Pelodiscus sinensis: one gene and its partners. The protein of the gene in region 2 interacts with the protein of the main gene of each other region in a pairwise test. Links are inferred from orthologs where the notes say so. Each region holds a gene or a part of one and is shown on either strand. Other genes may lie near its edges.

What was found.
Region 1: the proteins of FSD2 (region 2) and LENG1 interact in binary tests that used the Homo sapiens proteins (3 or more experiments, as listed by UniProt). The two-hybrid records come from large-scale screens. The link is inferred for Pelodiscus sinensis from reciprocal best matches to the Homo sapiens genes FSD2 and LENG1.
Region 3: the proteins of FSD2 (region 2) and SH2D4A interact in binary tests that used the Homo sapiens proteins (3 or more experiments, as listed by UniProt). The two-hybrid records come from large-scale screens. The link is inferred for Pelodiscus sinensis from reciprocal best matches to the Homo sapiens genes FSD2 and SH2D4A.
Region 4: the proteins of FSD2 (region 2) and speriolin-like protein interact in binary tests that used the Homo sapiens proteins (3 or more experiments, as listed by UniProt). The two-hybrid records come from large-scale screens. The link is inferred for Pelodiscus sinensis from reciprocal best matches to the Homo sapiens genes FSD2 and SPATC1L.

The regions. Positions count from the first base shown.
Region 1 is NW_027465849.1:4,030,817-4,037,837, reverse strand, and holds the start of LENG1 (leukocyte receptor cluster member 1), read right to left. Parts: upstream 3,010-7,021; 5' UTR 2,925-3,009; coding exon 2,793-2,924; intron 2,091-2,792; coding exon 1,908-2,090; intron 1,429-1,907; coding exon 1,175-1,428; intron 830-1,174; coding exon 613-829; 3' UTR 1-612. Other genes in the region: voltage-gated chloride channel TMC4, read right to left, coding at 6,011-6,061, 6,747-6,825.
Region 2 is NC_134724.1:20,216,748-20,224,295, reverse strand, and holds the start of FSD2 (fibronectin type III and SPRY domain-containing protein 2), read right to left. Parts: upstream 3,002-7,548; 5' UTR 2,845-3,001; intron 2,371-2,844; 5' UTR 2,178-2,370; intron 103-2,177; exon of another isoform or gene 1-102.
Region 3 is NC_134715.1:4,803,763-4,810,801, reverse strand, and holds the start of SH2D4A (SH2 domain-containing protein 4A), read left to right. Parts: upstream 1-4,033; 5' UTR 4,034-7,039. Other genes in the region: GSR (glutathione reductase, mitochondrial), read left to right, coding at 2,554-2,687, 3,431-3,580. UniProt on the Homo sapiens protein: Inhibits estrogen-induced cell proliferation by competing with PLCG for binding to ESR1, blocking the effect of estrogen on PLCG and repressing estrogen-induced proliferation. May play a role in T-cell development and function.
Region 4 is NC_134717.1:61,496,831-61,503,836, reverse strand, and holds the start of speriolin-like protein, read right to left. Parts: upstream 3,005-7,006; 5' UTR 2,908-3,004; coding exon 2,712-2,907; intron 1-2,711.

The DNA of each region.
Region 1 (7,021 bases), on a different chromosome or scaffold from region 2:
GGCCTCCTCAGCAGCCACACTGCATGGTGGGCACCATTGGGGGTGGGGACATAAGAAACCAGAGGCAGAAGTGGAACTTGAAAGCCAGGAGTCCTGACTCCCAGCCCCCTTCCTGTAACCACTACACCCTGCTCCCCTCCCAGAGCCAGGAGCTAGACTTCCTTGCCCCCCCAACCACTAAATCCACAAGCCGGGCCTAGAGCACAGTGATTCTGAGGCTTTGCACTGTTCTTCCACCGCTGCAGCCGGAACCCAGGCCAGGCCAGGCACCCCCCTCCTGTGAGTAAATGTGACCGGAGCCCCTGCCTTGGAGGCATTCAGGTCGCCCCTGGTACCTGCTGCTGCTAACACTGGGTGCTAAGGGGGGAGAGAGTCTAACATGGGACCCTGGCAGAGCAGCCAGCACCCTCCTTTAGAAGTGAGAAGGGCTCTGGCTCTTAAGGCCCCGGCCCAGCCAACCTTCCTGACCTGGGGGTGGCAAAGAGGGCAGCAGTCAGTGCTGGGACATCCCACCGGCTGCCGTGCTGTGATGCCCGTGTCCCTGCTGGGCCTGCCATGTGGCCCTGGTGCAGGGGCCACTGTGCCCAGGGCCTGCTGTTCAGCCCCCAGAGCTCAGTGCTTTTCCCTCTCGTCCCAGGCACGGGGCCTGCGCGCTAGCTGCGGATTGAACTGGGAGTTGTAGCGACGTTTCCTGTCATCCGCCTCCTCTTCTTCCTTGGGCTGTGGCTCCCCCAGCCGCCCAGCCAGCAGGACTTCCGCCCGGGCTCGCTCAGCCTGCTCCCGCCGCAGCCGCTCCCGCCGCAGCTGCTCCAGGGAGAGGGAGGCAGAGCTGCAAGGACAAGCAGAAGGCAACCATAGACCTCTAAGCCCTGGGCTACCAGCTGGCCGCATGGTCCATGAGAACTACAACTCCCAGCATGCAATTCTCTCTCTCTCTCTCTCTCTCTCTCTCTGCAGGAGAGAGGTGATGCATGCTGGGACATGTAGGCTTCTATTTCCACACCTCCTTCCCAATATACCTGCAGCTGGGAACAAGGGAAGTAAATTGCATGCTGGTAAGTGTAGTCCTTGTGGCCTGCAGCATTGCATGCTGGGACTCTTAGTCCCTGAATCCCCTCTATGGTGCTACTCTTACTAGGTCACTGAAACCTAGCTCTGCCGGTATCCAGCTCACCCCACTGCCACTTTCTCCTCCGCTGGCCCCTCTTTCTCCTTCTTGCGCTTCTTCCCCTCCCCTTTCTTCTTGCGCAGGTGACTTTCCATCTCCCGCAGCGGGTCCAGCATGCCCTTCAGCTTTTCCTGCTTGGTCACAGCTGCTGCCTCCAGGCTACGGTCAGGGGCTTCCTGGTACCATGGCCGGCTGGTCTGCGCCTCAGCGGCGCTCTGCCCCAGATAGGTCAGCAGCCCAATAGCCTTCTCCTGGCGCTCCTGGTTGGGACAAAGCAGAACTGAATTGCCTAGAAGAGGGGGCAGCCTCATCTGTAAGGGGGCAGGGTGGGGCCGATCATGGCTCTGGGTGAGACTGAGTGTTTGCAGCGAGGGAAGAGGAACTGGAGGGCAGCCAACGGGATGGAGAACCGGTGGATGGGGGGAGCCAGCGTGCAGGGCATGGAGCAGCACTGCCTTCTAGTGGTGTAAGAGCATGTTGTGGGGGAAGAGGGAGCCCTCAATTCTGTACACAGCCTCTTCCTCCTACAGGGAGCTGTGTTCATACCCACCCTCATCCCCTCTCCTCCAAGACACCAGGATCTGAAACTCAGCTGTACCCCAGCTCCTGTAACAGGGCAGGTGTAGCTACTCTATTGCACGACCCCCCACCCATCAATGCAGCTATGCGGGGGCAACGTAAGCCAGGGTGGAGCTCCCAGAGAATGCAGGTGCTGCTCCCCACCTCACCCCCCCTTTACCTTTTCCTTGCGCTTCTCCTCCTCATATTCCTTGTTCCTGGCCTTGGAGCCCTTGCCCTCCTCCAGGTCCCGGAAGAGGTCGACGTGACGCGGCTCCTCATCGCAGGGGACCAGCGCCGAGCTGCCATCGGGCCCTGGCAGGGCAGACAGCCGCGCCTTCTTCCTCAGGAACTCGGTCCGTGCCTACAGGGCGAATTGGGGGCTGGGTGTGGGGCCAGCTCCACCGGGGGTGGCGGGGGCCCGGGTGGCCATGAGCTCAGTGCAGGGGATCTGGGGGGCCGTGGGGCTGAGGCCTAACGCACTCCCCTCACCTGGGGCAAGGGCAGAGTGGGCAGGGGCCAGTGATGTTACTGGTGCAGCATCTGCCACGCCAGCCCCCCATCCACTGAGGCATGTGGGATTAGAGACCTACCCCATGGAAGATGGTTTAGCTCAACCCCCCCTCCCCATTGGAATGGTTCAGCCCAGCTCCCTTCTGGTCTGCTTCACTCCCCCTGCCTTTGGAAATGGTTCAGCCCAGCTCCCTTCTGGTCTGCTTCACTCCCCCTGCCTTTGGAAATGGTTCAGCCCAGCTCCCTTCTGGTCTGCTTCACTCCCCCTGCCTTTGGAAATGGTTCAGCCCAGTTCCCCTTTCTTCTGCTTTCCCTCCCATATTTGAAAACGGTAAATCCCAGAGCTCCCTGCCTCTTTATCCCTACGCCGTTTAGAAATGGCTCAGCCCCGCTCCCGTTTCGTTTTCACTCCTTTTGGAAATGGTTTAACCCAGGTTCTTACCCCCCCAGACGCTTAAAAATAGTTCAACCCATGACCCCATGGCACGAGTGTTCACTGTCACGCATGCGCACTCGCGGCCGCTTGATGGCGTGCGCATGCGCAGTCATTCACCTCCTGTTCGGCCAGCAGCGCCCGAGCCTCCCGCTGTCGCTGCTCCTCCTGCGCCTGCGCCTCGTCCCGCCGCACGCGGGCCACATTGTCCTTGTTCCGCACGTGCCACGACTTCTTCGGCAGGATGTTCATGGTCCCCGCTCGGGTCCGCCCGGCGCCGCGCCACTTCAGCTTCCGGGTCAGCTCCGCGTTCCAGAGCCGCCCCCTTTCCCCCGCTCTGAATCCTGATTCGCGGGTCCTAGTCCCGCCCTCGCTCCCTGATTGGAGACCCAACGCAGCACCGCCCCTTTTGCCTGATTGGTCCCCATCCAACCTCCCGCCCGAGCTCTTCTCTCATTGGCCTATTGTAGCCACGCCCCTCAGCCAAGCTCTGATTGGGCCAAGCTGGACACAGGCACAGCCCCTTGTAGCCCATTGGACGGGCCAAGGCCCCATTTTCACACCTCCCCTCCCCCACCCTGGAGCTGTTGCCCCCCCAGAGGAGTGAGACACCCCGGCCCCCTCCCCCATCTCTGTCCTCCCCCGCCCCCTCCCCCCTTCTCTGTCTGCCCCCCAGTGCCAGCCCCATCTGCAAACCAGCGGAACTCCTCGCCGCAGGACCCGCCCTTCCCCCAACACCAATGGGGAGACCAGCCTGAGCCTCCCCTCACCCCCACCCCCTGCGCTGCACCCCAGCTCTGGCAGCAGCCGGGTCACACGACGCTGCCAGGTGACCAGCCATTGGTCTGACACCGTATGGCCCTTCCTGGGTACCCAGCATGCACAGAATCACACGGCCTCCCTTGCAGCCGGGGGGAGAGCAGGGCAGAGATGTGAACAGTGGGCTCATTGGATAACCTTCACAGTTACACCCAGTCCCCCCCCCCTTCCCCTCTTTATCAGAGGCTGCAGTGTCGGGGGAGAGGTGGGAGCCAGCTTTTAAGCCTGCTTCCCACACGTACCAGCTCCCACAGATCCACCTGCCTCCCTCCATCCACCCCACTGCTGCTTCTGAGAGAGGCAGCAGCAAGGTGGGGGGGGGGGGGGGAGTCAAGCATGCAGGAGCCAATGCTCACAGGCAGCACGCACAAGCCAGCTCCTGCCTCCATGAAACTTTAAGCGGTTACATGTTTACCTAAATAAACACATTCATTTTAACATCCCTAGGGCAGGAGACCAAGCACTCGCTGAAACAGTGGAAGTAGCAGGATGGATGGGACAAACCCACCACTACTTGCCTCTAGCCCTGAACGTAAGAACGGCCACACTGGGTCAGACCAAAGGTCCATCTAGCCCAGGATCTTATCTGCCGACAGTGGCCAATGGCAGATGCCCCAGAGGGAATGAACAAAACAGGAAATCATCAAATGAGCCCTCCCTTGTCACTCATTCCCAGCTTCTGACAGAGACTAGGGGGGAGAGCAAATTTACCTAATCTCCATAAATTTGCCTAGTTGTTGAACCTTGTCCTCAGACAGGGAGTTCCACAGATTGTGCACTGGGTGAAGAAAAACTTCCTTTTGTTTGTTTTAAACCTGCTACCTATTCATTTCATTTGGTGACCCCTAGTTCTTATGGGAACAAGTAAATGACTTTTCCTTATTCACTTTTTCCACACCAGTCATAATTTTATAGACCTCTCCTTATCCTCCCTTAGTCTCCTCGTTTCTAAGTTGACAAATCCCAGTCTTTTCAATCTCTCTTCGACAAGAATGATTAAAGGTTTAGAGAACATGACCTATGAAGCCAGGCTTCATGAACTGGGCTTGTTTAGTTTGGAAAAAAGAAGATTAAGGGGGGACATGATAGCGGCTTTCAAATATCTAAAAGGGTGTCACAAGGAGGAAGGAGAAAATTTGTTCCTCTTGGTTTCTGAGGACAGGACAAGGAGTAATGGGCTTAAAGTGCAGCAGGGGAGGTTTAGATTGGACATTAGGAAAAAATTCCTAACTGTCAGGGTGGTCAAATATTGGAATAAATTGCCAAGGGAGGTGGTGGAATCTCCCTTTCTGGAGATATTTAAGAACAGGTTAGATAGACATCTGTCAGGGATGGTGTAGACGGAGCTTGATCCTGCCTTGAGGGCAGGGGGCTGGACTCGATGACCTCTCGAGGTCCCTTCCAGTCCTATGATTCTATGATTCTATATGGGACCCATTCCAAATGCTCGATCCTTTTTGTTGCCCTTTTCTGAGCCCTGCACACCAGGCCTCCCCCCCCCCCCCCCCCCCCCGTGGCCACCTTGATTACTTACCCTTTGACCAAGTAGCATTCTATTTTTACTTTTTAATTTCAACCAAAAATGGTGCTTTCGTTGTAACTTTTTCCCACCACTTTTCCCAGCTGCAGAAAAATCAGAAGAGGGTTAAAAAATGTCTGGGGCAGGAGGTTGGGGGTGGGCGTCACACAGTGATTTAATAACATTAGGTGTGAGAGACTCAAAAAGTTACAATTTTATAAGATGTTAAATTGTTATCATTGGGGCACAAAATACACCTAGAAAGGGGCCTGAAATCAAACGCTGGGAAGTTCTCACGCAGGGTTTCTCGGGCTTGGCCTAGTTGTAAATGCCAATGATTGTCAATAGCAGTATCTCTTTTGGGGTTTGGGTGTGTGTGTACGATGAAATCAGCCTGAAAACCCCCAATCAGGGAGGGAGAGACGCAGGTCTCTGCCAAAACGGGGAGACGGATCAGGTCTTGTAGCTGGGGAATACCAGCGCAGCTACCCTGGACTGCGCCAGTGGAGTTCTGCAGCCAGCTGGCGGCAGGAGATTCACATGGGTCCACCGTTTGGAGGATGTGGGGCTAGCCCGGGGCGGGAAAGAGAACACGAGAATGGAGTGTGGAATCCGGGCTCATTTCAAACACAAGGAATAACACCTCTCCTGAAAGAATGTCAGTCACGCGCCGGGTTCTACTTCACTTCCTGTCTGAAACTGAACAGTGGTGCTGGCTGGTGGTAAAGAGAAGCTGGTTCTTAGCACCAGGTCTCTGTATAAATGCCCTTGGGCACCACCTCAGAGGGGCCGTGTCGGGCGAGGGGACAGAAACAAGCTCTGGGCTCTTTGGGGGTTTCTGTCATTCCCCTCCAGCAGGGGGCAGTCTCGGCGCACAGGGAATCGGTGTCGCTGGCCGGGGAGGGATGGTCCAACAAGTTAGGTCAAGAACCCTCCGCAAATCAGCTGGCGGAGTTGTCTTGTTCCGGGAGGGGAAATCGTGGCGTCTGCTGCGCTCTCCTTAACTCAGCTCTGTGATCTGAGTCACTAAGAAAACTTTATTCCGCCCCTCCTGTGGGAGAAGAAAGGGTTAAAAAGCAGTGGGGAAACCCTAGGCATGGGTTCCCAAACTGGGGTGCGTACCCCCCTGGGGGGGGGTGAAGAAATTCCAGGGGGGATGCGAGGCAACCCAGCCTCCTCCCCCCCCATCAAGTTTTGCTGCCCTGGTCAGTTCCTTTTTTTTTTTTTTGCTCAACAAGTTTTGCTGTTATTTTTTGGGGGAGGGGGGGCGTGAAGGTTTTTCAAAAATCAAAAAGGGGGCGTGATGCCGAAAAGTTTGGGAACCACTGTCCTAGAGAATAAGTACAGCCATCTAGGGCACTCCGAGGGCCCCTCTACCCTGGCATCCTGCCTCTGCCACAGCCCCGTCCCATCCACTTCGGAGCAGGTACCACGGCAGCCCCTAGTGGCCGAAGTGGGGCGTACACTGTTCCTCATTTATCCCTGTCAGTGTCCCATCCTGCCAGGCAGATCATCTTGCAGCAGGGAGTCCCACCGGCTAACGGTGATTTGAGACGGGAACCGGCTCTCCCGCAGCAGTGAAAAGCCCCGGGGCCCAATCTCCGCCCTTCTGTGCCAGCCAGTCCTCACCCTGAGGCCAGAGGGGAGCCAACGCCCCTAAAGGGGAAAGGCCCTGGGCCCCATTCTCTGAGCCAGCCAGCCACCCTAGAGGGGACAGGCGCCCTGACGTCACTCACCAGCCGGAGCTGCCCTTTGAGTTCCTTCACCAGGCGGCTGTAGGAATTAGCCAGGGCCATCAGGTAGAACATGAGGATGCTGCAGTGGGGGAAGGGAAGAGCAAAGGTCAGGAGGCTCGTGAGAGATGGGGGGTAGGGGCCGTGAGGCAGGGACCTGGCAAGGGGGGAATGTCAGAAGGGGGATTATCTGCGGAGCCAGCACAGAATTCTGTGTGTGTGTCTGTCCGTCCATCCCTGCTGGAGGGGACAGGCCCTGCTGTGTGTCCGTGTCCCTG
Region 2 (7,548 bases):
CAGGGCTGTTGGCCAGGCGACATTTAGAGTTCCAGCCAAAGCCTGACTCTGGCACCTGTGCCTCTCCTGCACCCCACTCCCTCCCCCAGTCACCATCCAAACCCTCTGCAATCCCTGTCCCAAGTCACAACCCCCTCCCAAACCCTGTATCCCCTGTTATACCCCGTCCCCCAGGCCAGAATCCTCTCCTGCACCCAAACACCCTCCTAGACCCTGCACCCCAATCCCCTGATCCAGGTCACTTCCCCCTCCACCCAAACTCCCCCTCAGACCTCGCTGCAACTCCTGCCCCCCAGCTCCTTACCCCAGGCACCCTCTGCACCCAGCCTCCATCCTAGAGCCCACATCTCCTCCACAGAAAAGTGCAGCCCTTGACCACATTGCAAAATCTTGGAGTGGCCCCCCATCAAAAATTATTGCCCAACCCTGTTCCACACCCAAACTCAGGATGAAGGTCTCATGTTGGTGTCCTAAATATTTCCCTATCTAGGGACAGACATGACCAAATAAGTACTACAGAGAGCCCAGTCTGCACAGGCTCGCTCTACCTGTTTTTTTTAAAGTCATAAACTTCTAGTAACGATCACACAGATGGGAATGTGAAAGAATGTAGTAAGGCCTACCACAGGCGGCTCTTACTGCATTTAAAAGGCTGAGCCGCAGCAGAGTAGGTCCGGGATCCAACGCGAGCCGGGACTCAGCAGTTCTAGCTCACACCAGGTCTGGGACCTACCCAGGAGCGGCCCGAGGCCGGCAGCAGCAGCTGGTGCCCCAGGCAGAATGCGGGATCGGCGCCCCCTCCTGCATGGCCATCAATGGTGTGATATCATCATCGGGTGCTCCGGGCGCCCTGTGACGTCATCATCAGGCGCCCCAGGCGCCCCATTAAAGCCAGCGCCCTAGGCAACCGCCGAGTCTGCCTATACTCATGCGCTGCCCCTGGACCTATCCCCACTGCAGCTTTGTAGTGTAAATGTACTAGGAGCCAGGCTGCCTGTGTGCACGGCTCCTACTACGTTTCAACTACAGAGCTGCAGCAGGGCCTTTTATCGACTAACTGTGTACTCAATACAAGTTGTATTAAATACACAATTAGTTAATTACCCACTTCTTAACATCCTTAGTTACAACTCCCTCCTTCACCCGAACTCCCTCTCAGACCTCACACTGTCTCCTGCACCCCATTCCCTTACCCCGGGTACCCTTCTGCACCCAACCTTCATCCTAGACCCTGCATCCCCTCTACAGAAAAGTGCGGCCCTTGACCAGTTTCCAAAATCTTGGAGTGGCCCCGCACCAAAAATTATTTCCCACTCTGACTCAGAGGATGGCTTTTCAATGCTTGGCTTTACAACCTTAATAATGTTATTTTAAAATAGGGTTTTTTGGGAGGAGGGGGAATTGCATGTAATTTAAGCATAATTTTCTCAATACATATGTATAGATTCCTATGTGTGTATCTAACTACTCTCTGTATATTCATGTACAGGCATGGAGACTCCCAATTACTGAAGCTGGAATGTACAGTACATATATTTCATCATGGCATAAATGCATGAAGTTTTACTGAAGAAATGAACTCTACCTCACTCACTCCTGAGTTTTGCAAAAGTCCGCTCACCTTTTATTGAACAGTCCCTACTCTCAGCCCTTCTAGCAAGCCAATTAATGCCAGAATAAGAATTTATGTTAATATTCAGCGAACATTTGGTGTGCACTGTCAGACTGGAAAATTCAGTATGATACCATACAGCTTATCAGCGCTAATGAGATCATGCCTATTGAGTGCATAACTACTTTTGGTTTTGTATCCAAAATTTTATTACTATGGTTAAAGGGGTCATAGAAGTACTTCAAGTATTAGTTCAAGTATTTCAATTGTGTGTTAATGAACATACATCATAGTTATAGTCTCTATTTAGTCACATTTTAAGGCTTCTAAATGACAATGTGGGTTTCTTTCTCTCACAGAATCAAAACTGTCGGTCATCACTAAGCATATTGAAGCCATTTTAGACGTTGTAACCATTGGTGTGGTTTCCAAATTGCCATTTAAAGCTCTTGCTGTTTCTGTTAGTTCCTATCCGGTCACATTTTTTCTGTGATTTTATTGATTTCCTGGCAGTTAATTGTTAAGCTAACAACATTGTATTAAGAATATTTTCTCATTTTTTTACCTTTTCAAACGTATCAGGAACAAACAGCCAATTTCCAGCAAGATGATAGGCTCACTGGCCTCTTGGTTTAACAGACATCAAATAGAGGTGAACTGCAAGAAATTTTGTGAAAAACATTCCATCCTCCAGAGTTATATTTGTGTAACTGAGAACTCAGTCTAGCCTTCTGCTTTTACACACAAACACACAGTCACTGAAAATATGAAAGTGGAATTTAGACTTAACACATTTTGCTGTAACTAAAAATATTGATAAAAGGCAGAAAATATATATGCCACAGGCAATAAAATATATCATGTTTATATCCCGAGTGTCATGAAATATTAAAACATTAAACAGGACAATAGTCTTGAAACATATTGAAAAAAAGTCTAACTCTTTCATAATTTAACAACCAAAAATTCTGTTTTACACACTATAAATTATCTGCTACTAAATCAAAAAATGAAATATCAAGTATTTTGCCTAGAATATTGTAATTCAATTACAGAAATTAAAACAAGTATAATTAAATGTGTTTGGAACACTCCTGCCAAAAAAAGAGTCGGGATTATGTGGTATGTTTAATTTACAAACATAGATACAATTATAATGCAGTATGTCTTGAGCCCTTGAGGTTCAATAATCCAAAACACATAAAATCAACTCATACTGCCTAAAAACTTGCCTTATCTTAAGAATCCATACATTCTTCTTATAACCCAGATGAACCAAACTTTACATCTATTTTTCCTAGCACAAATGAATTCACATGAAGGTAATTCCCTGCCAGTTTCCTGTGACTGCAGCTGGAAAACTTATTAAAGTAATTCTAAACAGTTTCTCAAATGACATGTCAGCTGTGAGCAAGAATGACAAATATAGATCTGTCCTTCAGCTTCACACTACTTAAGTGTCACCAGGATGAATGTCATACACTGAAAAAAATGACTCCAAAAGTTTGTGGGGTTCCCAGGCTTGATGTATTTTAAACAGACATGGAATGCCCCCTTAAAAACAGAGAACTCTGTGCAGATATTATTAAAAGCATCTGATGTGTCCATCAGCGAATCTAAATATGATGTTTTGCAAGGTTGTGAGTCAAGAATAAGCAATATTTTTTGTACCTTATGTAGGGTGCATAGTCCCTCTCTCTCTTTCTCTCTCTGCCTCTCCCTCTCCCTCTCTGTGACAGGCAGGTATGCACTGACCTAGTTAAGTTTAAATATCTGTTATCTTCTTCATAAAAGTTTAAATGGCACAACCCTGCTCCCACTTCAGTCAGTAGAATTACTGCCATTTATTTCAATGGAAGGCAAGATCAGACTCTAGAAAGCATTATGGTAAAAGTAATTAACTTGTATCTATATTTTTAATTGCAATAATTTATATAAATATCAATATATACAACTTCAGACTACCTGGGGGCTGAAAATAATAGAAAAAACAGCTGCTAGCTAGGTAAATGCACTGCTCATCTGATTAAAGAATAGCCCCCATATTATTAATAATAATTATAAGAAATTATTTAGATTGCAGTAGCCCTTGTGATGTATGAGTCCACACACAAATCCACTGAAATTGAAATATGTAATACTCTGTAGCTTGCAAACAAGCCACAGAATGAGCATTAACTGCAGGTCTTGAATGCCATTCAAATTATTCACCTGTTTCCTTTCTTTAACTGGCATAGTTTTGTGCTTAAAAGGACAATGAAGTTATTGCAGCTTCATAAATATCTGTTGTGTTTCACTGACCATGCAGTCCCACAACGGAAAATTCTGTACCTTGTGTTATTTTTTAGTTTCCTCCTTTCTTTTTCTCGCTCCTGCTGTGATCCTCCCAAGTAATGAATTATGAACTAACTGCTAGTGTGTCCACGCTCATTCTGCATAGTCCCCTGGCATTTCCTCTTATTGTTTAAGTCAGAGAGGAAGTACTTCCAAATGAATGATGCAGCCAACCTCAGTATTTTGTCTAAGAGTGTCTGTATTCATTTTCAAATTAGAAGCAAATGTTGCTGTTATCTTGCTGCAAATCTGCAAAGATCTCCTTAAGGTGCCCTGATGCAAAGCTGGCATACATGGCACATGCCCTTATTTTGTAAGGCCACAACAGACTATTGGGTGAAATTCACTGTTGTACGGTGCCTGAAGCAGGGTTCTGGACCACCTAAGTCAGGGGTCTCCAAACTTTTTAAGCATAAGATCACGTTTTGAATTTAAGTGCAATTCAAGATCTACCTCAAACCCAAACACCCTTGCCCCGCCTCCTTTGTGCTCCTTGCCCCGCTCTCCCTGAGGCCTCACCCCTGCTCACTCCATCCTCCCTCCCCCATCCTCATTCACTTGTACCAGGCCAGGCTAGAGGGTTGGGGTACAGGTTCTGGTCTTGGGTTACGGGATTTGGAGCTTGAGGGACTCTGAGCTGAGCTTGGGCTAGGCAGTTGGGGCGGAGGAGGGGTTCTAGGTTCAGGCTCTGGGAGGGTGTTTAGATGCATTGGGGCTCAGGATTAGGGCAAGGGCTTGGGGTGCAGGAGGGGGTTCATGACTGGGGTAGGGTTTCGGGATGTGGGCTCCAGCTGGGCACTGTTTACCTCAGATGTCTCTTGGGTGGTGATGCAGTGGGGCTAAGCCAGGCTTCCCCCTGCCCTGGCCCTGCACCACTCCCAAAAGCAGCCAGCAAATTATATCCCAAATCCTGTTGTGCCCCCCCTCCATTCTGTGGAGATAGGATAAAGAGTGGGAGAAGGGGCAGATTGACATCAGTGCCACCTCCTCTCCCTGCCCTGCATAGAAAGCAGGAGGCTCCTGGGGGAACAGCTCCAAGGCAAAGGGCCGGAGTTGTGCAGCAGTTGGAGGAGGAACAGCTGACGTGCTGGCACTTGATAGCCGTGTGGCCAAAGCAGTCAGGATCACCTGTCAGAGGCCCCAAGATCTACCAGTAGATCCCGATTCACTGGTTGGTGACCACTGATTTCCTAATTCCTACTTAACCCCTTAAAAAAGGAGCTATTCATGGGAATCAAGCCTTGTGCCGATCCTCTACACAGAGCTGCATTTCACCTGCAGTGTCTCTGATTAGTTTTTTGCATGCTTCAAGTTGCTCAATTTGAAGGAAAACGTGGTGTTTGCTTATAAAGTGAGTGTATCGGTTTGAAAGTAAGTAAGTTCTATACTTGCAGCTCTTCTCACTTGATACCTTGACTGTTTTGTGTCAAAGATCCCAAATGATAGCACCTCATTTCAGGGCTCAGACTGAGTTTTTATGCATTGGTATGCTATACCGTCACTTTTCTAGTGACCCCATACGTTTCTCCAGCGGCAGATATAGGGCAGGGCGAGTGGAGCAGCTGCCCCGGGCTTCAATAGGCCCCGTACACGTGCTACTACCTGTCGAATGTGGCCGTGGCGCATGCGCAAAATTATGCTGCCCCGGGCCCCGCAGTTCAATAGGCCCCGCCTGCACTCTGGGCCCCACAAAACTTTCATCCGCCCCTGTGTTTCTCTATCATTTTTGCTCCCCTTTTAAATTAAGAAGGCTGAGACAATCTTCAGAATTTGAACTGTTGCAATGTTGGGTCTATAGATTGGGACCAGTGTTCCTCATAAGCTGACCTCTCAGGTTGCCACTTAGGAGAGATTCAGATGCTGCCCAGCTGATTAGCAGAGCACCCACCACTTCCCATATCTGGCAGTATGTGTTTCTAGTGGTGGTGCACATTGTGCATGCTTTGGCGCACAAACAAAATTTATTCTGCATGTGGATGGAAAAAATTAGAAGGAACACTGATAGGGACACTAGCTTTAAGAGAGATGTGGGTTTCCTCCTTTACCTGAAAGGGGTATTAATGCTGAATGCTAATAATTACAATTTAAATATCAATGTTGTTAACTCTTTTTCCGCTGATTTTGGCAGAAACATTTAGCAACTCTGGTGTTGAGGGCAAAGTACTATCACCTTTTCTTTCATTGTGACCCCAGCTCAGTATGATCTTTCATCCAAAAATTGCCATTTCTAGTAGCGGCATCGTCTTAATACCATGCTGAGAGAAAATAGTGCTGAATTGCTACTACATCATTGTAATCTCCCATCCATCAAATGAACCTCTCCAGACTGCCTTAATTTATAAGAGCTGATACCTTTACAACAGTATTATATGACTGCAACTGAAGATAACCTTCTGAACATCTTACTAGTGTTATTCTTTCCAGAATCAGGTCCTAGATTTGCTATATACTGTACACAGCTCTGTATTTCTTCTTCTGCATCTAAATGACAATGCCTTTTGAGTCAGTGGTTTTTATTAGTAAAGTATCGGTTATCTATGCAATTATATTTGTCACATATCCCGGATAACATGTATTGATGTCTTTCCATTCGTGACTTAACCAGGGGCAGATGACCGTTTTGCGGGGCCCCGGGCAGCATAATTCCGCAGGGACCCCCTTTGCCATGGCGCATGCACAGTGACGCCATGCGCATGCGCAGCGGTGCCACGGCGCATGCGCGGGGCTTTCTGAAGCGCGGGGCCCGGGGAGGCCGCCCCGTTCACCCTGCCCTATATCCGCCCCTGGACTTAACAATTGCTCTTGATTTCATGCAGAAAACTCCTCAGTGGTATCTAGATGCCTCACTATCACTGAAATCAGTGACGCAGACAAGACGAGCAGGGCTTTAAACTAGGTTCTAGAGCAGATGACCAAAGTCCACAGGTAAAGTGAAAAATGTGACGAAGGGTCAGAAACTAGAGGGAGATGATCTGTAATAGCAGAGATAAAGGAGAAACAAGGCAGAACTCGGGGGGGGGAGGGGGATCAACCCAATACTTTAGTGGTCTGTATACCAGGGGTGGGCAAATTTCAGCCCGTGAGCCAGATCCAGTCTCCAGAGTTAGCCCATGGCAGCCCCCCACCTCCATGTTTATCTGTACCTCCAAAGGTATCGGAGAATCGCAGCTCTCATTGTCCACGGGTTGCCATTTGCAGCCAATCTAAGCAGTGGGAAGTGGTGTCCTGGTCCGCAACACTTTCTGCCACTTGCATTGTCCACGAATGGTGATACACAGCCACCCAGAGTGGCAATCCTCCAAGACCTATTGAGACATAGGTAAACATGGCGGTGGCAGCCCACCAGGGTCTAACTCTGCAAGCTTCTGTTTTTATATTGCCCAACCCTGCTGTATACAAATGAAAGAAGTATGGGGAATAAGTAGGAAAAACTTGAAATGTTAGTAAATAAACACAACTATGATATTGTTGGTATCAGAGACTTGGTGGCATAATACACATGATTGGGATATTGGTTTAGAAGGGTACAGCTTGCTCAGGAATGATAGGAAGGGAAAAAGTGAGGTGTTGTTTTATATATTTAAAAATATCTATTCTTGGAC
Region 3 (7,039 bases), on a different chromosome or scaffold from region 2:
CGAGGAGCAATGTTGGTTCTCAGTCTCTTGAGTTCAAGCCAGGGTTGCCAACAGTCAGTAAATTTATGGGCAGCCCATAAAAGGAGCTAAAATTGGACCTGTCTGTAAAACATTTCCATGTCAATAAAAACCCACTGAGCTTCCTCCCACTTGGCTCTGGGGCAAGCTCCGCAGGGCAGCTCCGTAGACTCTACAGTTCCTGGGGCAGGGGGGAATTCTCCTGGTGGGGGCTGCTCTTCTTCACCTGTGGTGACCAGCTTTGAGCTCTTTGGTGTCACCAACCCTCATGCTCCTGCTGCAGCCCATCATTCAGCCTTTTCAGCCGTAGCCCCCTCCCCACCCCCATCCCGAGATGTGAAGTAGGTAAAACCTGAAGAAAAGTCTGTTTTCCTCACCCCTTTTGAATTTTGCCTGTGCCCAGAAGAGTCCCAAAAGGGTCACCTGCCTTGCCCGAAAGCTTTCAGAACTTGGAGGATGCGAATGTGGGTAGTAAATAGGTTAAACTAGCATAATAACATTGCTGCTGTGATGTCTGAATAAAAACATTGACTAGTGTTCCCTTTTGTCGTATCTTTATATAGTGTAAGAATGCGTCCGTAAAAAAGTTTCAGTAACTTTTTTTCCATGTTGTCCACAAAAATACTTTTAAGCAGATGGCAATCCTGGTTCAGGCTCAACACAACCCCTGCTGGATCGCTTGATAGCTTTGTTCACAGCTAATGTGTAAACTGAGGTAACCTACATTCCTTTGTCTAGGGCAGATCTGTTTTATCACCTTTGCCTAGGCCAGGCTGTCATCTTGTTCTAGTGACATTGTACAGTAGGCATGTAGAGCTTCACATAAGAAGTTAACACATGCATTTTACACTGATATTAATGAGCCGTGTGCTACAGGTTGAACCTCTAAAATCCATGTCTCTCTGGTCTGGCAGGACCACAAATATTGCTGGGCCATATTACCCTGTTTGGCCAGGTTCAGGAGCAGTGGTGGGGAGCGCCAGCCATGGGCTGGGGCAGGCAGCAGCAAACTGTGCTTCAGGACCACTACGGTCCTGAGAGTGTCCGACTAGGGAGATCCCACCTGTATTAGTTTTAGGTGCTGTCTTGTAAAGGCATATGTTTAAAAAAACGTTTTGCAGTAGTGTGTAGGGTGTGAACACAGCAGTGCGTACAGACAGTTACAGTGTCTTACTATATAGTTTAGAAATGTGCCTCTCTCTGTCCGTCCATCTGTGTGTCTGTTTGTTCAAGAACTCCTCCTAAACAGTAAGAGCTAGGAACATCAGCTTCCTCTTACCTTCACCCCGATCCCCTGCCCCAGGTCAGAATCCCATCCTGCCCTAGGTCTCAACCCAAACTCCTGCATCCCCTCCTACACATCAGTCCCCTGTCCCAGGTCACAACTGCCTCCTTCACCCAAACTCCCTCCCAGATCCCACACCTCCTCCATTAAAGTAATGGAAGAGTATAGCCTTTGACTACTTTCCAAAATTATTGCCCACCTCTGTTCTACTGTATAACCTAGCCACAAGATTTTAGAGAATTTTAACTACAAAAAGTATATTGCAGTTACTGCAGCTGTGGGTCAAAAAGTGAGTGCCTATATTTCTTAGGGATCCCACATTTAATTTTATCTCCACAACTAATAAATAGATTTTTTTTGTAAATTGCCAAGTTCATTCTTTACTCAAAGTGCTGTAGGCTTGCAGATGCTGTGCTGTGTTCTTCGTACATAAGTGTGGCCCTGCTTAAGGGCAAAACTCAAATACACTTTGACTATGAAATGTCTGAGGACACCTCCATAATGCCGCCATTAATTTATTTTTTGAATGTCAGATTTGTTCTTTTTGGAAAACTTACTAAAATGTGTTTGTCCAGAATACTTTACTTCTTCCAAATGCTTAGTCGTTTACAACGCTTGGTCCCTGTGTTGTGCTAGCAATAGACTGTTTCAATTGCTTGCATAAGTACCAATGTCATTAAGAAGTGTACAGAACATTTTCCTCTGTCGCTGTGTAAAGTGGTCTTCATTTCATCCTGCTTGAGTATGAGGGATTGTTTATACTACTACTTAACAGGGGGGAGGGATAGCTCAGTGGTTTGAGCATTGACCTGCTAAACCCAGGGTTGTGAGTTCAATCCTTGCAGAGGCCATTTAGGGATTTGGGGCAAAAATTCATCAGGGATGGTACTTGGTCCTGCTGTGAAGGCAGGGGACTGGACTCAATGACCTTGCAAGGTCCCTTCCAGTTCTAGGAGATAGGCAACCTCCATTATAAAAAAACTTACATTGCTCTGGGTTATGAAAAAGCCATGTAAATTACATCAACTTAGTATGGGGCAGACACCACTTTTATATGGATGTGAGACTCTCTCCCGCCAACACAGCTGTTTCTTCTTGTTGAGGTGGAGTAATTACGCTGAAGGGAAAGCGCTCTCCTGTTGGCGTGGTGTCCTTCACCAGACGTGCTGTAGTGCTGCGAGAGCCCAGTAGTGTAACTAGCCCATAGTCCTCTGCAGGCCATGGAGTCAAATGTCTCTTGTGTGTTACAGAGGAAGCCATTTCGACATATGGAAAAGAGAATGTGAAGATCTACAACACCTCTTTTACCCCCATGTATCACGCTGTAACGCAGAGGAAAACTAAGTGTGTCATGAAGCTGGTTTGTGCTGGCAAAGAAGAGAAGGTGAGCCAAATGAAATAAGTCATAGCTAAAATGTTAAGGAGAATGGAACAGCTTGTATTCTGCTGTTAGCTAAATCGGTGTGGCTAGCGAAAGGTAAAATAACTGGCCCACTGCCAGCAGGATCCTGATTAAACCAGCTAACCGATTACATGGGATTTTACATCCCTACCTCATCATTATTTGTGGCATATGAGGCTGAAGGGGTTCAGCTACGCCGCTCTAGTCTGACCTCATATATAACACAGGTCATAAAATTTCATCTGACTCCTCTTTTGGGCCTAATCAGTGTTTGACTAAAACATCTTTGAGACAGGCCCCCAGTCTTGAGTTGAGCATTTCAAGAGATGAAAAATCCTCTGCTTCCCTGGTAGTTTAATCTGTTCCACGCCCATGCTGATAGATTCCCTCTGGTTTTGCCAGCTGCAGGGGCACAAAGTTAAGATGGTGCTGCAGGGGTAATAGGGACTGTAACTTCGTATTTCCTAGTTTTCAAAGGTTTATATTTTGTCACTTCCCATATTCTGAAGCAAGCTGCTTTCCACAGGCTGGAAACACTACTGGGCGACCTTAACTCTTCACTAACTCCAAATGGGTAGATTTGTTTGAAAGGCTGTTGACTAGGTCAAAAGTAGCTTTTCTCTATGCCAATGAGTGATCAGGTTGATGGAGATTCTCTAGCTGGTTCAGTGATAACTGTCATTAAATGCTCATCTGTATTAAAGTAAGTTTCCTATTGTTTGAAGGTGGTGGGACTACACATGCAGGGACTAGGGTGCGATGAAATGCTGCAAGGTTTCGCTGTAGCAGTCAAAATGGGAGCAACAAAGGCCAGCTTTGATGAGACGGTTGCCATTCATCCAACTTCATCAGAGGAGCTGGTCACACTCCGTTGAAAGGTTGCGTATTTCTGAGGCTTGCAAACCAATCTGTAATACGGCAGCCAAAAACACTTGAAATAGGCTTGCGGAATCATAACTACTTTTCTTGGTGCCATTTAGACAAACTCTTTCTTTTCTGTGACACTCCAGATGATATTCAGATTCTTCTGTTTTTGTAATCTAGACATTTATAATGTGGGGAAAAAATCTGAGCGACGTCCAGTGGTGGTGGCATCTCTTCCTTTCATCCAAATAGCTTGGTTTCTTGAAGCTTCATTGGTTTAGACTGAAAAATAAATAAATAAAATAGTTTAAACTCTTTGGTTCTTGTTTGATTATCTCAGACCTCATAAGCTTATCTAAGCCCATGTTTTGACTGGCTAAGCTATCTGGTGCAAAAGAGATGTCTCAGTTTTCATTACTTTCACCATTGATTTTATCATGTGGGACATGTAGAATTGTCTTCCTCCTGTCTCGTTCAGCATGGCTCTGTGCACGCAGAAAAGCTCCTCTTGAATTATGATTGGCAGAAGGAATTTCAGGGTACGTCTACACTGCAGATGCCTGTGCCACTGACTCAGGGTTCAGAGGCTGTTGATTTACAGTGTCATCACTTGGGTTTATGCTCTAGGATCCTGTGAGGTGAGAGGGTCCCGGAGTGTGAGCTGCAGCACAAGTGCAAACATTAGCACTACAATTAAACAGTGCCTTAGCCTGAGCCCCAGTGAGCTGGCATGGGTCAGGGGCAGGTTATGTGCAGTGTGTACATACTCTCAGGGAGCAAATCTGGCCTTGTGGCTAAGGCACTTGACTGGAACTGAAATTCTAGGTTGTCAGTCTCTATGTAACCCTGGGCAAGTTACTTTCTTTGTCTCGCTCTCTGGCCATGTCTATACTTACCCATAGATTGATGCTCTGGAGGGCCATCTTCTGGCATTCGATTTAGTGGGTCTACTAAGGACCTGCTAAATCAAATGCCAAGGGGCTGCCCCCATTTATACTGGCACTCCTACTCCTTGGAAGGAGTAAGGAAAGATAATGTGAATGTTTCTCCCATCGACCTCCCGCCGTGGCAGTGGTGCCAAAGTTTGACGCAAGGTACTTAATGTAATTAACGTAGCTGAAGTTGCATATCTTAATTCGAACTTATCCCCTAGTGTAGACCTGACCTCTCTCTCTGCCCCAGCTCCCTAGCTGTGAAGTATGGATAGTAATGTCTTTGTCCTCATAGGCATCTGATCTTGGTTCAGTCCTCTCTATGTTCTTTTGGTGTAGAAGTGTGGTGTCGCCATAAATATGGTTGGGTTATAAATTAAGGCATAAATTCTTGTTTTTCTTTAAAAGTAGGTGGGCAGTTGGTACAAAGTGTTTTATTTTAAGCCTGCTGGTGGTGGAGACAGTAATATCAAATCTGCTGGGAAATCCCACAAAGAACCTTTTATCTGAGACAGTGACCAGGCCTGTAAATTGAAATCCCCGCAAGAACTATCCAGTTGCAGTTTGTGATTCCTGAGTTGGAAGTTGGAAGAACACCATGGAAACCTCATACTGGCTACTGCCTCTTGCATGAAGTATCATCTCCACACCACTGAGGCATGAGTTTTATGGGATGTGATTTGGAGTCCTGTCTTCCCACCTGTCGGGGGATTATGGTGGGGATGACTGGTGTGATGAAACACCCCCCCCCCCCCCCCGTGTTCGCACCCTATACATGTTGTACAAAATATGCCTTGTGAAGTTTCATTTGAAAACTAACAACTCACTGGTTGGTAATGTCACAGAGAAATGTGTGTAGTGATAGTAGATATACGATTTAAACAAAAGCTGAAATCATGACAGAATTGTGTTTACCAGGCAAGTCTGGGAGTGGATAAACTTGTTTCTCAAAGACAAAGGACAGACTCACAGCTTTGGCCTGGTGTCCTCTAAGCTGATGGGCCCTCACCAATCAAGTGGCAATTCTTTGGCAAGGGAGAAGGGTGGGGCAGGAGTGAACAGATCTGCACCTTAGCAAACAGCCATTCACCTCTTTCACTAGCAGACTCCTGGATTCCAACCTCACAATAGGAATGACTGTTAGGGATAACCCTCAAGAAAATGGATTTCAAAGAGAGATTGAACTATAAAAAGCGAGTGGAAGAACACACCCTATCCATCTCTTGCTCTCTCACGTGAGAAGACAAAAGAAATCAGCCTATTTGGAAGAGATCCTGACCTTGGTCAGCTTTGTTGCTGGACCCCTCTGGTAAGAATTTTATTTTGGACCAACTCTGTCCTAAGTTTTAGTCCTAGGAAGTGTTTTATCCTTATTTCTCTTGTATCCATGTCTGACTCTGACTTTAAGTGAATACAAGCATAGGGCATTAATCTTGTAGTTTAATACATTTGTTACATTCTTTAATTAAAATCAGCCCAATTTTAACTGTCCATTTATGGCAGGAAACTGTATGTTAATCCCCTTGCAAGAGTTGGGATTACAAAGGGTATGGCTCATCAACCCAGAGTTAGGGGTGGGGTCAGAGGTTTCCTTGGCCTGGGATTTGGATTGGGGTCAGTAGGAGTCTCCAGGCTACACATGGTAAGGCTCCCTGCCCGAGGGTTGGCCAAAAGGGAGGGTTATGGTAACATTTGCAACGGGGAGGGGTCCCTTGCCTAGGGCTAGGGTTACAAAGTAGAGGGCTCCCACTGGCTCCTGAGCCTGGGGCTAGAGTTTGGATCAGTAGGGTTCCTTGGCCTAGAGTGAAGGTTGCGCGCTCAACCCCAGGGTTACTGTTGGGGTCTGTAGGAGCCCCGGGCTAGAGTAGGATTGTCAGTACAGGTGGGGTGCTCTGGCCTATAGTGGGGTTTACAAAGGGTAGGGCCACTAGCCCTAACATTAGGCTTGTTGTTTGGGCTCCCTGCATTGTGGTAGGGAGCCCCTGTGCCTATGGATATGATTGTTGTCAGGACTCCCCAATGGAGGGTTTGAGTTCCAAAGGGTAGGTCCTCCAGTTGTGAGGTCACAGAGCACCTCCGCCCAGGGACTCCCCAGTCTAGGATTAGGGCTACAAAGCATAAAGTCCCATGGCCTGGGATTAGGGTTGGGGTGAGCAGGCGTCCTTGGTGTAGGTTTGGGTTGGGTCAGTACAAATCCCTGTCTTATGGTACAGGTTGGGTCATCAAATTTCCAAGCAGAAGGTTTGGTTAGAAATGGTAAGGCGACCCGCCCTTGGGTTTAGATTACAATGGGTAGGGTTCCTTCTCCTAATTTCAGGACTGGGGCCAACAGGGCTCCCCATGCTAGGGGTAGGGCTCCCTGGCCTAGAGCTAAGATTGGGGTCAGCAGGACTCCCTGCCTAGGTTCAGAGTTGGGGTTAGCAGGGCTCCCTCACATCGGGTTAGGGTTACACAGCATAGTGCCCCCAAGCAGGGTGAGGGTGAAGGTCAGAGAGTCCCTAGGGGTATGTAAGGGTTGGAGTTAGCAAGGCTCTCTTG
Region 4 (7,006 bases), on a different chromosome or scaffold from region 2:
AAAAAAAAAAAAAAGAGAATGTTAGGAATCCTTTAAAAAGGGATAGAGAAGACAAAAAAAAATCCTATTGCCTCTATATGAAACCACGGCACACCCACATCTTGAATACTGCGTACAGATGTAGTCACCTCATCTCAAAAAAGATACCTTGGCATGGGAAAAGGTTCAGAAAAGGGCAGCAGAAGTGATGAGGGGCAGGGGCAGATGACTGTTTTGCGGGGCCCCGGGCAGCATAACTCCGCGGGGGCCCCCCCCTTTGCTACGGCGCATGCGCGGGGCTTTAAGCGCGGGGCCCAGGGCAGCCACCCCGTTCGCCCTTCCCTATACCCGCCCCCGATGAAGGGTTTGGAACAGGTACCATATGAAGAGAGATTAAAAAGGGAAACAAGATGACATTCTATAAATATATTAGAAGCAAGAAGACGACCAAGGACAGGGTAGGCCCATTGCTCAGTGTGGAGGGGGAAAAAGTAACAGGAAACGGCAGAGATGCTTAATGACTCTTGTTTTGGTTTTCACGAGAAGTCTGATGAAGGAATGCCTGACATAGTGAATACTAGTGGGAAGGGGGTAGGTTTAGAAGATTTTTTTTTTTTTTAAAAGACCACACAAACCCACACCCCTCCTCCCCCAAGTTTAAAAAAATCACTTAGAAAAGTTGGATGTCTGCAAGTCACCAGGGCCTGATGAAATGCATCCTAGAATATTCAAGGAGCTGATAGAAGAGGTATCTTAGCCTTTAGCTATCATCTTTGGAAAATCATGGGAGACAGGAGAGATTCCAGAAGATTGGAGAAGGGCAAATATAGTGCATATCTATAAAAAGGGAAATAAAAACAACCCAGGAAACTACAGATCAGTCAGTTTAACTTCTGTGCCAGGGAAGAGAATGGAGCAAGTAATTAAGGAAATCATCTGCAAACACGTGGAAGATAATAAAGTGATAGGGAACAGCCAACATGGATTTGTAAAGACCAATTCATGTCAAACCAATCGGATAGCTTTCTTTTATAGAATAGCGAGTCTTGTGGATACGGGAGAAGCGGTGGATGTGGTATACTTAGATTTTATTAAGGCATTTGATACGGTCTTGCATGATATCAATATAACTAGGCAAATCCAACTTAGATGAGGGTACTATAAGGTGGGTGCATAACTGGCTGGGTAACAGTTCCCAGAGAATAGTTATTAATGGTTCACAATCTTTCTGGAAAGGAGTAACAAACGGGGTTCTGCAGGGGTCTGTTTTGGGACCGGTTCTGCTCAATATCTTCATCGACGATTTAGATATTGGCAGAGAGAGTACACTTAAGTTTGCAGATGATACCAAGTTGGGAGGGGTTGCAACTGCTTTGGAGGATATGGTCATAATTTAAAATCACCTGGACAAATTGGAGAACTGGTGTGAGGTAAATAGGATGAAGTTTAATAAGGACAAATGCAAAGTGCTCCACTTAGGAAGGAACAATCAGTTTCACACATACAGAATGGGAAGTGACGATATAGGAAGGAGTACAGCAGAAAGGGATCTAAGAGTTATAGTGGACCACAAGCTAAATATGAGTCAGTGTGACACTGTTGCCAAAAAAGCAAACATGATTCTAGGATGTATTAACAGGAGTGTTGTGAGCAAGACAGGAGAAGTCATTCTTCCACTCTACTCTGCGCTGATTAGGCCTCAGTTGGAGTATTGTGTCCAGTTCTGGGTGCCACATTTCAAGAAAGATGTGGAGAAGGTTTAAAACTAATAAAAGAAAGTTCTTCTTCACACAGTGCACTGTCAACCTGTGGAACTCCTTGCCAGAGGAGGCTGTGAAGGCTAGGACTATATCAGAATTTAAAAAAAGAGCTAGATAAATTCATGGACGTTAGGTCCATAAAAGGCTATTAGCCAGGGGATAGAAATGTTGTCCCTGGCCTCTGTTTGTCAGAGGCTGGAGAAGGATGGCAGGCGACAGATTGCTTGATCATTGTCTTCAGTCCACCCCCTCTGGAGCATCTGGCACTGGCCACTGTCAGCAGACAGGATACTGGCCTAGATGGACCTTTGGTCTGACCCGGTATGGCTATTCTTGTGTTCTACGTTTAAAACAAAGAAAGGAAAGTTTTTCTTCTCTCAGTGCATAGTTAAGCACTGGAACTCCTTGCCAGAGGATGTGGTAAAGGCTAGAACTTTAACAAGGTTCGAAAAAGAGCTAGATGGAGTCATGGAGTTAAGGTCCATCAACGGCTATTAGCCAGGATGGGTAGGAATGGTGTCCCTAGCCTTTATTTGTCTGGAGGTGGGTGACAGGAGAGGGATCACGTGAGGATTACCTGTTGTGTTCACTCCCTCTGGGGCACCTAGAATTGGCCACTGTCGGCAGACAGGATACTGGTCTAGATGGGCCTTTGGTCTGAACCAGTATGGCCATTCTTCTGTTCTTTTGAGAGTCCACAGTGTTGGTGGGACACTGGGGAGCATGCAGAAGAGACTGGGGAGGTGTGGGAGAGCTGGCATTGGTTTCAGGGCTGAGGTAGCCTTACTGCAGAGTCCCGTCTTAGGAAAGAGCACGTGAGTTTAAATACTTAGAACTTGCAAGAGTCGAATGGGTGGATTCAAATACAGCCACCGTGGGAACTGCCCTCTAGGGGCGCTTAAGCCAGGATGATCACTGAGCTAGAGGGCCGCTATTCACGAGAACAATCTAGGTCTTCCCGGTTCTCCTTACCTCCTTGGCCCGGGGAGCAGACATTCGGATACACGGGCGCAGAGCGGGAAGGGACACACCGCCCTTGGCTGCTGTTCTCATAGTGCTGATTCAGTAACGAACGCAATTCATAGTTCTCTCGGAGCAGCCTAACCTGGTTTTTCAGGTACGTGTTTTCGTTCTGGATGGTCCTGATCCACTCGCTGTCCTCGCTCATCGTCAGCCTCCTCCTCCGGGTGGAGTCGGGGGTAGCAGGCCGCCTCAGCGGGGCCAGAGTCGCCTCTCCCACGGCTTTCAAAGTCCCCCCAGGAAGTCTTGGAATGTTCCTACCCCATTGTGAGCTCATGGCTCTTAAAGGAACGGCTGGGTTTTTAAGCCCTGAAGACTGCGTCTTGGACATAACCTTGGAGGAGGCCAGATACAGTCCTAGAGCTTAACCCTCAAATCCTGATCCAAACCCCAATGAAATCAAGGGAAGGCTTCACACGGGCCTAGTAGCAGTGTGGTTGCCAAGGACAAAACTATTTCTCAGGAGAATTTACTTTTCCTTCTAGAAAAAGTAGAAAAACCAAGGCTTGCTGCTAGTTACATGAAGATCTACATACTTTTTTGGAACTTTTTGGTATTCTTCTTGGCCAGGCCAGCAGAAGCCTGGAAGCTAGCCCGGGATACCAGAGATACTCAACTTCTCCTCCTAATGCAGAGGAGAGAAATCTCTTTGGTCAGGGGATGCTGATGCACAGAAAGGAAAGAAAAAAAAAACCCAATCAGGGGCCAAGTGAGAAGCAAAAAAAAAAAACTACACATCACCATAACAACTACGAAAACCAAGTCACTGATGTGGTCCCTGACATTCTCCTCGCACACTGGAGCCTAGCGGGACCCAGGCTAGTCGGTTGTGGGGCCCCTTACACTCTGAGGTGGGGTCAAAAGTGAGGGGTTCAGTGTGTGGGGCTGCCAGAAAGCAGGTTTGTGATGTGGGGGTCCAAGCAGGGGGAGGGTACAGGAGCCTCAGGGGCTGGATCCAGGCAAGTCAGGGGCTGGATTCAGCCTTTGGGCTGTGTATTCCCCACCTCTGTCCTATAACAACCCTGTATAGACAATACAACTCCTTATATTGACTAAGTATGCAGACCAAAGCGGCAAGAACACAGAAGGCTATGGCAGCATGGAAAATAAAATACCTTCATGTCACTGTGTTTATCGCTTGCTCCAATGTTTTGGTTGCCACGTATTTGTCTAAAGGCAAAGGGATACTACCGTGAACCCTAATGTTTCAAAGTTCACTCGTAAGCAGTAGCCTCCCCAGGAACTGAAATTGGGGGGGGGGGTTCAAATTTACAAGGGGCAGTGTCAGGGTTGATGAGGGGTGAGACCGTGAGGGTGACAGTGGGCCGTATGGCACCATAGTTCACAAAAGTGGGGGGGTGTTAGGGAAACTTTGGGGGGGCGGTTAGGGAAATCCCTGCTCGTTAGGACTGTCCTGCAGCGCCAAGCACACTGGTATTTCCAGAGCAGGTGGGCGTTTAGGACAAGGATCCTTATTTTCACTGACTCTGGCCCTCTTCTCCCCAGGAGGCAAAGCGCACCAGGAGCTCTGGTGCGTCAACCACAGAAAGCTGCCCGGCTAGATTGAGTCAAAGCGTCTGAACTTGAAATGCAGAGAGAAATTGGGACTGTACAGAAAGAAGATAAAATCCAAGGTCCAAGCTATCCTGATTCCTCAGCAGGGAGAGTGGAAAGCAAGCTAAATGGCAGCACAGATGACAGATTTTACTCTCCTTAGTGGAATGCCATCCCTTTCCCAGAGTGCAAATCCACCTAGGAGGCAGCAGTAACAAGCAATTGCCAACAGGTGGCAGACTTACACCTGTAAGCACAGTCTGTAGGATCCTACAACCAAACCCAGGGCCTGCCCCTAAAGGACACCATGCAGTAACCAAGTGCCCTCTCCAGAAACAAGCTCACTCATTGCAAGTGCAATTAGTGAATCGTTGGGGGACAGACTGGGCAAGAGAAAGTGTCACAGCTCCATGAGGAGGCTGGGGAAAGCAGAGGCTGGTTTCTTGCATCTAGGATAAGGTGCAAAATGGGGAGGGGGATCTTATACCTTGACTACTGCCTGTGACTCCAGATCCTTTGCCCCCTGCTTTCTGGTGTTGTAGAGACTGGCCTGCACGTTCTGTGAGAATTGTTTTTTGCCTGCAAAAAGCCTCATTAACCTCCTGCTCCTGCCAGCTGCGGGGAGACCAGCCCTTGCAGCTGCTGTACCTCAGAGAGGATCCCTCCGTGTTTTCCTCGTGGCATTAACAGGCAGATGGTCACACAGGGATGAAGCGGCTGTGCTGGCTGTTACAAGACCCCGAACAAGGGAGCAAGCCCACCAGGGCATGCCAGCCTGCAAAGCAACCTACATGCCGTCCTAAAGGCCAGCACCCATCGGGGACAAAAGGGCACATGCATCAGACTCTCCTCTCCAGAGACAGCAGACACACAGGGATGAATTTGCACTTTCCCCAAGAGACAGGTGGGGGCCAGGCTCAAAGCCATCTATCCGGCAGGTGGGCTGTAAAGGAGAGGAGGAATGAATCTCAGAAGACCCACAAATTGTGTGTGCTAATTGTGCACCTAATCCTCATTACTCGGTCACACAGCTGCCTTCCTACACAACCATTTGACCTGCCTTTGGAAGGGGAGAGGGAAGAGACTATATAAAACAAGGAAATGTATTGAGAGAAAAAAACCTCTTGATAGTTAGAGGATGGTGGTACCAAGAGCAAACGTAGCAGGCCCAAGAACAGATTTGGATTTGAGAACCTGCTGCAAGCGTTCAAGAAGCTGTAGTTTGCAAAGCTTGTTCCAGCTGGGTTTGTTGCACATGCTGCCAGGTGGATTGTAAAGTAGCCAGAGGCCATGAAGACAAACAGTAGCGCCTGCATTTAGGAGATGCGGTCTAATGGGACAGCTTAACACAGTGCCAGCATTAGCCCTTTGGAGGCACGCAGCAGGAATATTCCTGGCCCTCCTCAACACATACTAATAATCGATGCAGGATTCCCAGGTAGGTTCAAGCAAGTGCTCAGTCTGCTTATGCATAGCACCAGCTCTGCCTGAAAAAAAGTCACTGGAAGATGGAAGCTTAGCTTAATTTCTTCACTATTGGTAGAAAAAAAAGGGAGGCCCTGCTGGTCAATGCAAACAGGACCCCAGACATCCCATGGGGCACACGCCTTCCCCACACATACCCTTGTTTTCCTACCAAGGGTATGTAATGCTCTACCCTTACCTGCAGCTCAGCTCCCAAACAGCGAGCACACACTGACTACAGGCAGGGACTATGCTAGCAGCTGCTGTGAGTTATATGCCAATGACCCGGTCCCATAATTCTCCTAATAGTGGTCCCTTTACCATAAGCGCAGTAGTACTGCAGCCCTGGAATGCATGGGACTGGATATGGTGCCACTGATATTCCTAGAGCAGAAGGGATCCAAGCCGGGCCGGGGGGGGGTCTCCCTGTGAGTGCAGTGGCTGGGGGGGAGAGAAGCGCCCACATGCCGACGGGCTGAGTCATGAGCTGGGTTGCCACAAGGCCCGGCCTGCTCCCAGGCTTATGCTCTCAGCCCAGCCAGGCTGACGTGGCTGCATCCCTGCAGCCGGAGACGCATGTTTCAGGGTGGGCCCTTGTGTCACAACGTGCTGGTGCTCGGTGCAGCAGCTTCCCCCACCTCAGTCAGGCACCCCAGGTCTTACCACCCGGCCCCACCCTGCCTCAGAGCCAGACGTCACCCCCCACCTGGCTCCCTCTGCCATCCCCCTCACCATGGCCTCTCATAAGACAAGAGGGCCACCGTTCCCCCAGCCTCCTTCCCATGAAACCCACCTCTGTGACACCCCGTATTCCAAACGCCACTGGGCTCCCCAGGCCCTGTGCACCCCGCCTCTGTGACAGCCCTTCCCCCCAGCCCTTCACAGCTCCCCAGGCCCTGTGCACCCCGCCTCTGTGACAGCCCTTCCCCCCAGCCCTTCACAGCTCCCCAGGCCCTGTGCACCCCGCCTCTGTGACACCCTGCCCCACCCCCGCACGGCTCCCCAGGCCCTGTGCACCCCACCTCTGAGACACCCTGCCCCTCCCCCGCACGGCTCCCCAGGCCCTGTGCACCCCGCCTCTGTGACACCCTGTCCCACCCCCGCGCGGCTCCCCAGGCCCTGTGCACCCCACCTCTGTGACACCCTGCCCCACCCCCGCACAGCTCCCCAGGCCCTGTGCACCCCGCCTCTGTGACACCCTGCCCCACCCCCGCACGGCTCCCCAGGCC